Danio rerio: one gene and its partner. The protein of the gene in region 2 purifies or fractionates together with the protein of the main gene of each other region. This does not show direct contact. Links are inferred from orthologs where the notes say so. Each region holds a gene or a part of one and is shown on either strand. Other genes may lie near its edges.

What was found. Proteins that work in one complex are often made in the same cells at the same time.
Region 1: the proteins of pim1 (region 2) and edc3 purify together in Homo sapiens (affinity purification with mass spectrometry; 3 studies listed by BioGRID and IntAct, counting the BioPlex papers as one, with this or other methods). This does not show direct contact. The link is inferred for Danio rerio from reciprocal best matches to the Homo sapiens genes PIM1 and EDC3.

Annotation. Positions count from the first base shown.
Region 1 is NC_133200.1:21,947,035-21,951,166, forward strand, and holds the start of edc3 (enhancer of mRNA-decapping protein 3), read right to left. Parts: upstream 2,806-4,132; 5' UTR 2,695-2,805; intron 2,463-2,694; 5' UTR 2,454-2,462; coding exon 2,290-2,453; intron 1-2,289. UniProt on the Homo sapiens protein: Binds single-stranded RNA. Involved in the process of mRNA degradation and in the positive regulation of mRNA decapping. May play a role in spermiogenesis and oogenesis.
Region 2 is NC_133183.1:11,870,940-11,875,138, forward strand, and holds the start of pim1 (serine/threonine-protein kinase pim-1), read left to right. Parts: upstream 1-1,318; 5' UTR 1,319-1,549; coding exon 1,550-1,622; intron 1,623-1,793; coding exon 1,794-1,900; intron 1,901-2,044; coding exon 2,045-2,095; intron 2,096-2,200; coding exon 2,201-2,567; intron 2,568-3,367; coding exon 3,368-3,544; intron 3,545-3,631; coding exon 3,632-3,819; 3' UTR 3,820-4,199. UniProt on the Homo sapiens protein: Proto-oncogene with serine/threonine kinase activity involved in cell survival and cell proliferation and thus providing a selective advantage in tumorigenesis.

The sequences.
Region 1 (4,132 bases), on a different chromosome or scaffold from region 2:
AGAGTTTTGAAAATTAACAGAAACCAATGAATTTGTTAAATTTGAAGCAAAGAATAATTCAGTAAAGAATACAGCTGACAGTGATGAATATTAAATGGCGCAAGAGTAACAAAACTATTTGCTGCATAGTAAATAACATTCAGTTTAAGAAGAAGAGTTTTTGAAGCTCATCTGTAAATTACATCCCCATAATCCAGAATTGGTAATACTGTTAATTTGAGCTGCTTTGAGGAATGTGTAAAGGAGGATTTGTTTCTGTAAAGAAAAACCAATCCAGGCTTTAACCTTTTACATGCTTTCTGTCAGCTTTTTTTAATTGAATAAATTAGTATTTTTGGAGATTTGGTGTTGCCGCCTTTTATTAATATTTAATTTGCACCTTTTGCGTTTTTTTGGCTGAGCACCCAGTTAAGAGGGATGTGCGTGCTTTTGTACAATTTTTTAAAAAGTAGAAGTACTGACTACACTTTTGTAATCAAGTAAAAGTAAAAAAGTAGCGCCTCAAAAATTTACAAAAGCAAAAAAGTAAAAAGTACCCGTTTCAACCACAGTCCAATGACATGCGGTATAGGTGAATAATAGGTAACTAAACTGGCAGTAATGTATAAGTTTCTCAGTGCTGGGTTGCCGCTGGAAGGGTATCCACTGTGTAAAACATATGCTGGAATAATTGGTGGTTCATTCCGCTGTGGCGACCCTGTATAATTCAGCAACTAAGTTTAAGGATAGTAAGTACCATAAAAAGCAATTAGTCCTCACATCCTATCGATACATTAATAAACTAACTTACATTTCTAATTCTTATGTAAAATTTTTGTTGGCAATTTTATGAAAGCAGCATCACACCCTGTAATAGGGTATGTGCCGAGCTGGTGTTTTTATTATACTGATAAACTTAAGGTGACCTGTTATTGTAATTTTTTTTTTCCCAACGTATATGGTTCCTTTTACAGCATTGATGATGTAATGTAATTAAAATACATTCAGTTAAATAAACTTTGGCATTCTTTTAGTTGATCAAGCTTAAAACGAGACAAAAAGCCGTTTACTCGTACGTGCCCATCAGAATCGGCCGGCATGTACAGTTGACCGGAAGCGTTTAACTCAGGTTACTGGCAAATTCAAAGTCCTATTAGCATGCTTCGGCATATACCCTATACTTTGCAACAACATTGCTCTAAAAGTCTGCTCATGTATGATCATCCTGACTCAAATTCACAGCGTTCATCATGTACTTTTGTGGCTGTTAGATCAAAAACAACAGCTGCTATTTATGTTCATACACTCTAAAATAATTCTGTAGGTCTGTATATCTTTATAAATAATTACATTTTACACAGTATTCTGTCCTATATATATATATATATATATATATATATATATATATATATATATATATATATATATATATACACAAGGCTCATCATATTTGACTGCAAACAATTTTTTTCCATTAGGCTAAAGCTGCTTTATTCTCTTTAAAAAGTAGTTCTCATACATAACCTGTTAATTCAGTGTTTTTATAAAGTAAATAAAGGAAACAAATGCATAAGTTTTTTTTTAATAAAGTGTTTGATTGTTTAAGTACTAAATGTACAAATCTTTACAAAAAAATCACAATATTTCCCTGTATTACAATAAAAGACCAGAGAAATCCTGTGCAATATGATCGGAAGGTGACAAAAGGGTTAAGCATTTTTAAACAGATATCTGTGTAAAAAAATGTAAGAAGTAAAAGTAAAAAGTTGTCAGAAAAAACATGTAGTGGAGTAAAGTACTGATATCAGAAAAATCTACTTAAGTACAGTAACGAATGTATTTGTACTTTGTTACTTCCCATCTCCGGAAGTAAGCGTCTATTCACACCACTAATTCATAAAAAAGGAAAGGTTTTGTAATATTTTTAAATAGCATAACGAGGCTTTTTGACTTCTTTTTAACTTTTCACTTCCAAAATGATTGGTTAACACTGACTTCCAAAGTTTCCCTCTGCTATAAGTCAATAACGACCACATTATTATTATTTTCAAATTAACTTAATTTGTGTTTAACAGAAAAAGGGAACTTATGCAGGTTTAGAAAAAAAGAGAGGTTGAATAAATGATTCTTATATATTCATTAACAAAAATCTAACAAACATTAACAAAATTCTACAACTCAAATTACATAAAGGGATTTCAAAATACCACACAAGTGTGGCTTAAGACAAATGAGACGAAAGTATCCATCCTAAAAACATCAGTAAAAATGATAAAAGACATAATAACACAGCTCTCTTTTATAATTTACCTGAAGGTAACCTCAGGCACAGTGCATTTGACTCCATTGTGGAAGGGGTTTCTGAGAGAGATGGTCTGACTGGTCTGATCCACTGAAGAAATCTCCCCTTGGTAGACTCCTAGAGTTGGTCCACAATGGATTGAAACAAGATTGCCAACCCAGTCTAATGCCATTTTGACCAGCTGAAATGAGATTCAAAGACGCTTTGTTAGTTGTCATGATGGTTTTAAATATACAGGTAACTCTTGAAGCGTTATTGGGCGTCTGAAGCATGAATACGAAGAATGTTTTGGAAGAATAAGTATTGAACGTTAGAAAGGAATATGCTAACGTTAGCCAGCTACATGTACAGCACGCAACGGGCTTATAAGCTAATTTTTCGGTTTTATAAAAATTGTAAAGTGAGTTTCTCACCTGTTTTCAAGGGCAAAACCTTTCAATTATACGGATAAGTTGTGTACTGTGATAGATTTGGATAAACTCTTCTAAAGAGCTCGACTACGCGATCGGCTTCTTCTATGAAAGTTGACTGAGTGAGGATCAGATTTGAATCTGTATTTACTGCCGCTTACTGGGCAACCGCCGAACTACATTGAGTTGCTAAAGAAGGCAGATATTTATTTTTTTGAAACTGTTAAATGATTATTATTCATTCATTTTTGTTTCTTTTCTTGGTCCCCTTATTAATCTGGGGTCGCCACAGCGGAATAAACCACCTACTTATTCAGCATATGCTTCATGCAGCGAATGCCCTTCCAGCTGCAACCCAACACTGGATTATTTTTAACAATTTATAACTTGCAGTTATTTCTCTCAGAATATTTTTACATTCTAAAATAACACATTTATATATTATTATGGTTGTGTTCATTAAGAAATTTAAATCCCCGTGAAATTAAAACTTATCAAATGATTTTATCAGCTCACATTGCTAGTTTTGCGGTGAACAATTCATCTGTGCATGTCATTAAGAAAAAAAAATCGTAATTTGTCATTTTTATCCCGTTTCTCTAGGAACTACGTCACATTACAAAAAAAAGCTTAAATCGTAGCTTCTGGTTCATGGGGACTACATTTTTTTAAACTGATTTTTAAAAAAGGTTGTCACTCACTCACTTTCCTTGTTTCTTTATTTGCCACAGCGGAATGAACCACCAATTACTCTGGCATATGTTTTACTCTTGCTGCCGCAACCCAGCCCTGAGAGTGTAACTCATGCAGTGCCCTGAGAATGTTACTTTAAAAAAACTAATTTAAATTTGAATAAATACTAAAAATAGAATTAAAATAGCAAGATACGCTTGAGATTTAGTTTTTTGATTTTTGTTAAAATTGTTTTGCATAAAATGTAATTTCTACTCTACTAGATGTCAACGGGTGTATTGAGATCATAATGCTGAAAATCTGTGTATACACAAATACAAAAATGTCAAATAATCTTGTTTAAGAATTAATTTTCTTTTCGACCTAGTCCCCTCATCAATCCGGGGTCGCCACAGCGGAATGAACCGCCAACTTATCCAGCACGTTTTTACACAGCGGATGCCCTTTCAGCCGCAACCCATCTCTGGGAAACATCCACACACACTCATTCACACACACTCATACACTATGGACAATTTAGCCTACCGAATTCACCTGTACCGCACGTCTTTGGATTGTGGTGGAAACCGGAGCACCCGGAGGAAACCCACGCGAACGCAGGGGGAACATGCAAACTCCACACAGAAACGGCAACTGACCCAGCCGAGGCTCGAATCAGCGACTTTCTTGCTGTGAGGCGTCAGCACTACCTACTGCACCTCTGCATCGCTGAATCTTGTTTAAGAATTTATAACGTCCAAAATATCAA
Region 2 (4,199 bases):
AATCTCAAAACTGACAGGTTCATAAATAACTGTGTGTCCGTGGTGTCTGACCAGTCAGTAAAGATGCATATAGTGACCATAAAACAGGTGTAATATAGGTTTACATTTACTTTGTTTATGTTTAGGCCTTTTACCAAAAGGGCGGGGAAAATACATTAGACGGGGAGAGCAAGTGGCATTCAAACAATAATCTGGGCGGGAAAGCGAGGACAAGAGACGTGGGGGAAGGGACTTGAAGTCTTTTATCTCAAGTTTCCCACATCCTGCCGCCGAGTTTAAAACCGGCCACCCAATTTGAAAGAATGCCTGGTATGCGCCTCATTTCCATAGCGACCGGCATTGTTCTCAGTTTAAATAAAGCCTGTTGCCCGCCAATTGGAGAAAAAAAAACTTTGCGCGCTAATTTGAGATTAATGAGGTAATGCAGTGCATGCGGTCTCCGTATACACTTTGAAGACCTACTTCACATGACTGAAACAAAACAAACAAAACACTTGTCTTGATGTTTCGTGAGAAGGTAAACGTGGGTTGTAGTAACGCTGCAGAATTCTCTTAACTTTGTTACCTTTCATCATTTGCATGAAGACGAGCTGCAAACACGTTGATTTTGCATCATAATTTCTGCACAAGAAATTATTATTTTTTATAAAGATATATAAAACTTATGATTTGCACTATAAATCCACCTGACGACAAGGATGTAAATAATTGTTATATTACTTATTCATTTACTTATTGTTTAGTGTTGTTCTTTACTGAAACTGCAGCATATATATAATGTAAATGCTCTGAATTCAATATAATTTTATGATTAAATAAAATGTAAAGATTTTCCATCAGATATAATAAATACTTACATTTGCGACATTTTAATGTATATCCTATGATGTGTGGATCTATTTTTGTAATAGGCTGTACTCTTCTCACTTCTCTGAATTAATGTTTTGAATCTGCGTCAGGTTTTTCGTGTCGTCGATGTTGTTTAATACACACTGCCATGTGAATCATTTTCCATGTCTGCCCCCACGCCGGTTGAACGCCCTCAAAAAAGCCTGGACAATTTGGCGCGTTTTGATTCCCGCCACGTCTACGTTTTCCTTTATTTTCATATTTGATTGACCTTTTTCTGCGGAGGCTGGCGCATTACTCATTGGCTGAGGCTTGTTTGTGGGACGAGCTATTGCTGACGTACTCACCTTCACCCCTCCCTTTTACTACTGGTATATAACGGCTTCTGCCCCTCCCTCACGCTTTAGAAAGCCGGGTGTTTGTGTTCGTCGCGCACCTCAGACAAATAATATTTATCTTCGTGCTATTAATCGTTTGTTTATATTGTAAGTTTTATATTCCAAACTGGAATAGACCTCGCGCGGCCGTCTTAAGTTCGTGTTGGGAATCCAAACCCGCCGTGCCTCGATGAGAAGGGATTTCTACAAGCTTCTAGATCGGATCCCTCGCTTAGACCTTCCCTACATCCATCTCAACACGACGGCTTTCGACCTCCACATTGGAATAACCCTCACGAAGGACTCGCATTTTGGATTATAACATGCTTCTATCAAAATTCAACACATTTGCTCACATTTCAACCGTGGACATGCCGGCGAAAATCCAGCTTCAAGGTTAGAGGACGGTTATTCTCGTGCTCATTTGTGTGTGTGTTTGTGTGTGTTGGGCGCTCGTTCACGTCAGCAGACAGTGCTGGGAATAGCGCGTGCGTCAGATTTGCAATTATTATATAATTCTGTGGCTTTTATCCATTCTTATGAAACTATCAAATGTTTTATCGACAGTTAAGGAGAAAGAGCCCTTCGACAAAGTGTATCAAGTCGGCACAGTGCTTGGAAGCGGTGGTTTCGGGACGGTGTATGCGGGTTTACGGATCGCCGATGGCGCGCCGGTAGGTTCCCTCAATGGAGGATTTTTGTTTACATAAGCGTGGACGTCTAGAATGAATATAAAACGTCTTTGTAACATATTTAAACATTCTATATGCAGCATCGCTTCATTGTTTAATGATTTGTTTATTATTATTTTTTTCTAGGTTGCCATCAAGCATGTTGCAAAAGATCGTGTGACCGAATGGGGAGAACTGGTGAGTAATTTAAATAGATTATCTTCATGTTATGTGTATGTGTAAATGTCGCCTATAAATAATAAATGACAGCGTCAGTTAAACGAGCATGTCCTCCGTTTCCAGCCCAATGGCGCGCGCGTCCCTATGGAGATCGTCCTGTTAAAGAAGGTCGGGACCGGATTCCGTGGCGTGATCAAAATGCTGGACTGGTACGAGCGACCGGACAGCTTCATAATCGTCATGGAAAGACCGGAGGTCGTCAAGGACCTGTTTGATTTCATCACGGAGAAGGGCGCGTTACCGGAGGAGCTGGCCAGGAACTTTTTCCGCCAGGTTCTGGAAGCGGTGCGTCACTGCCACAACAGCGGCGTCGTTCACCGCGACATCAAAGACGAGAACATTCTCATCGACCTGCGAACCGGCGATCTGAAGCTCATCGACTTCGGATCAGGAGCATTGCTGAAAGACACCGTTTACACTGATTTCGACGGTAAGAGCCATTTGCATGACCTTCAAGGTGGGATTCCCACGGTCACGGAATTAGAGGGTTGGGGAGTGTAACGTCAAATACAGGCTTGCCTGCTCTCATGTAAATACTGTATACATGTTTAAATGTATAAAAATGTATACAAATATCAAAATACATCGAGTGCGAGGTTTGTAAACAAAACACATCCACGCTAAAATGGTTTAATCCATGTTGTAAGTTGTAAATTCGATGGCGCTTGATGGTTGTTTGATTTAGAAATTCTGTCAAGCTTGAAAGGGTGTGTGTTTATATGTAGAAGCGTTTTAAACCACATATATTAAGCAAATCTGCCGTTTCTCATTTTAGAAATGCGTATCTTGACCCCCTTTTGTCGTTCACAACCCTTGTCAAGCTTAATAAATCGACCAACGTGATGATTTGTTTATTTTTTTGTATAACGTTGCTTTGGGGGGAAACGCAGTTCGTTGAGTTTGGTTTTGTCGCCCCCTCCGGTGGGAACTGGAGTTGTTACAACTCAAAGTTTGTAAACACAAGTCACATGGCAACCAGTTTTCTCCACATGCACACACCTACCCTCACGCTCCCAAGCGCATGACTGTACACAGTAATGTTGCGCCACAACAATAATGTTCAAACATGGCACACCTTTTCCTGCCGCACCTCTTACTACAGTGTTTGGTTACTTTAGTGGATCCTAAAATGAAAGGTTATATGAGGGTTTGTTTGTTTCAAAGTTCACATGAGGGTTTGTTTCTGATTATATGCTTATGTGTTGTACTTTTTTGTTGTTCTCCCATCAGGCACTCGTGTTTACAGTCCTCCAGAGTGGATCAAATTTCACCGCTACCACGGTCGATCCGCCACTGTTTGGTCTCTCGGCATTCTGCTGTACGATATGGTCTGCGGGGACATCCCCTTTGAGCAGGACGAAGAGATCGTGCGAGGACAGGTGCTGTTCAGGAGGAGAATCTCCACAGGTGAGACACACTCAATCACACGGCGCCACCTTTAAGCAGTTTTATGGCTTTACAGCAGAGCTAATCAAACATCCTGTTCTTTTACAGAATGTCAGCAGCTTATCAAGTGGTGCCTGGCCCTCCGCCCTGCTGATCGGCCGTCTTTTGAGGACATCATCAACCACGATTGGATGCAGAGCACTGCGCCCCCTACGGACAGCACTGAGATCAGGCTGCACAGCATCAGCCACGAGCATCAGCCCGCTGCTTTCCCAGCAGTCACCGTGTGCAAATGACTCTGTCTGAGCGCGTACATAGAGACTTTCCATTACAGCAGCAAACCACCCAGGGGACCTGCGGACTGAGCAAAACGTTTTGTTCCAAGTATCGCTGCTAGGTGGGAGTTCTAGGCTAGGCCAAAAAAAAAAGGGAGAAGGTCACCTTTTAGTGTGATCTGTTATCTCTGCTCGCCTGTGGCTCCGGGTCCCACTAGTCTGGCTCAGAGGATCCAGATTGAACGCCCAGTGTAGGGAGGAGCCGGGGAACACCCAAAACAGCGACTGTGAACAGAAGAAGCTGTGATCTGTCAGGGTTGTTCCGTTAGGACGCAGATCAGCCGAGCTTAATAATTTTAGTGCCTTCTGTGCAAGATCAAGGGTTTTGTTTGTTCGTTTGA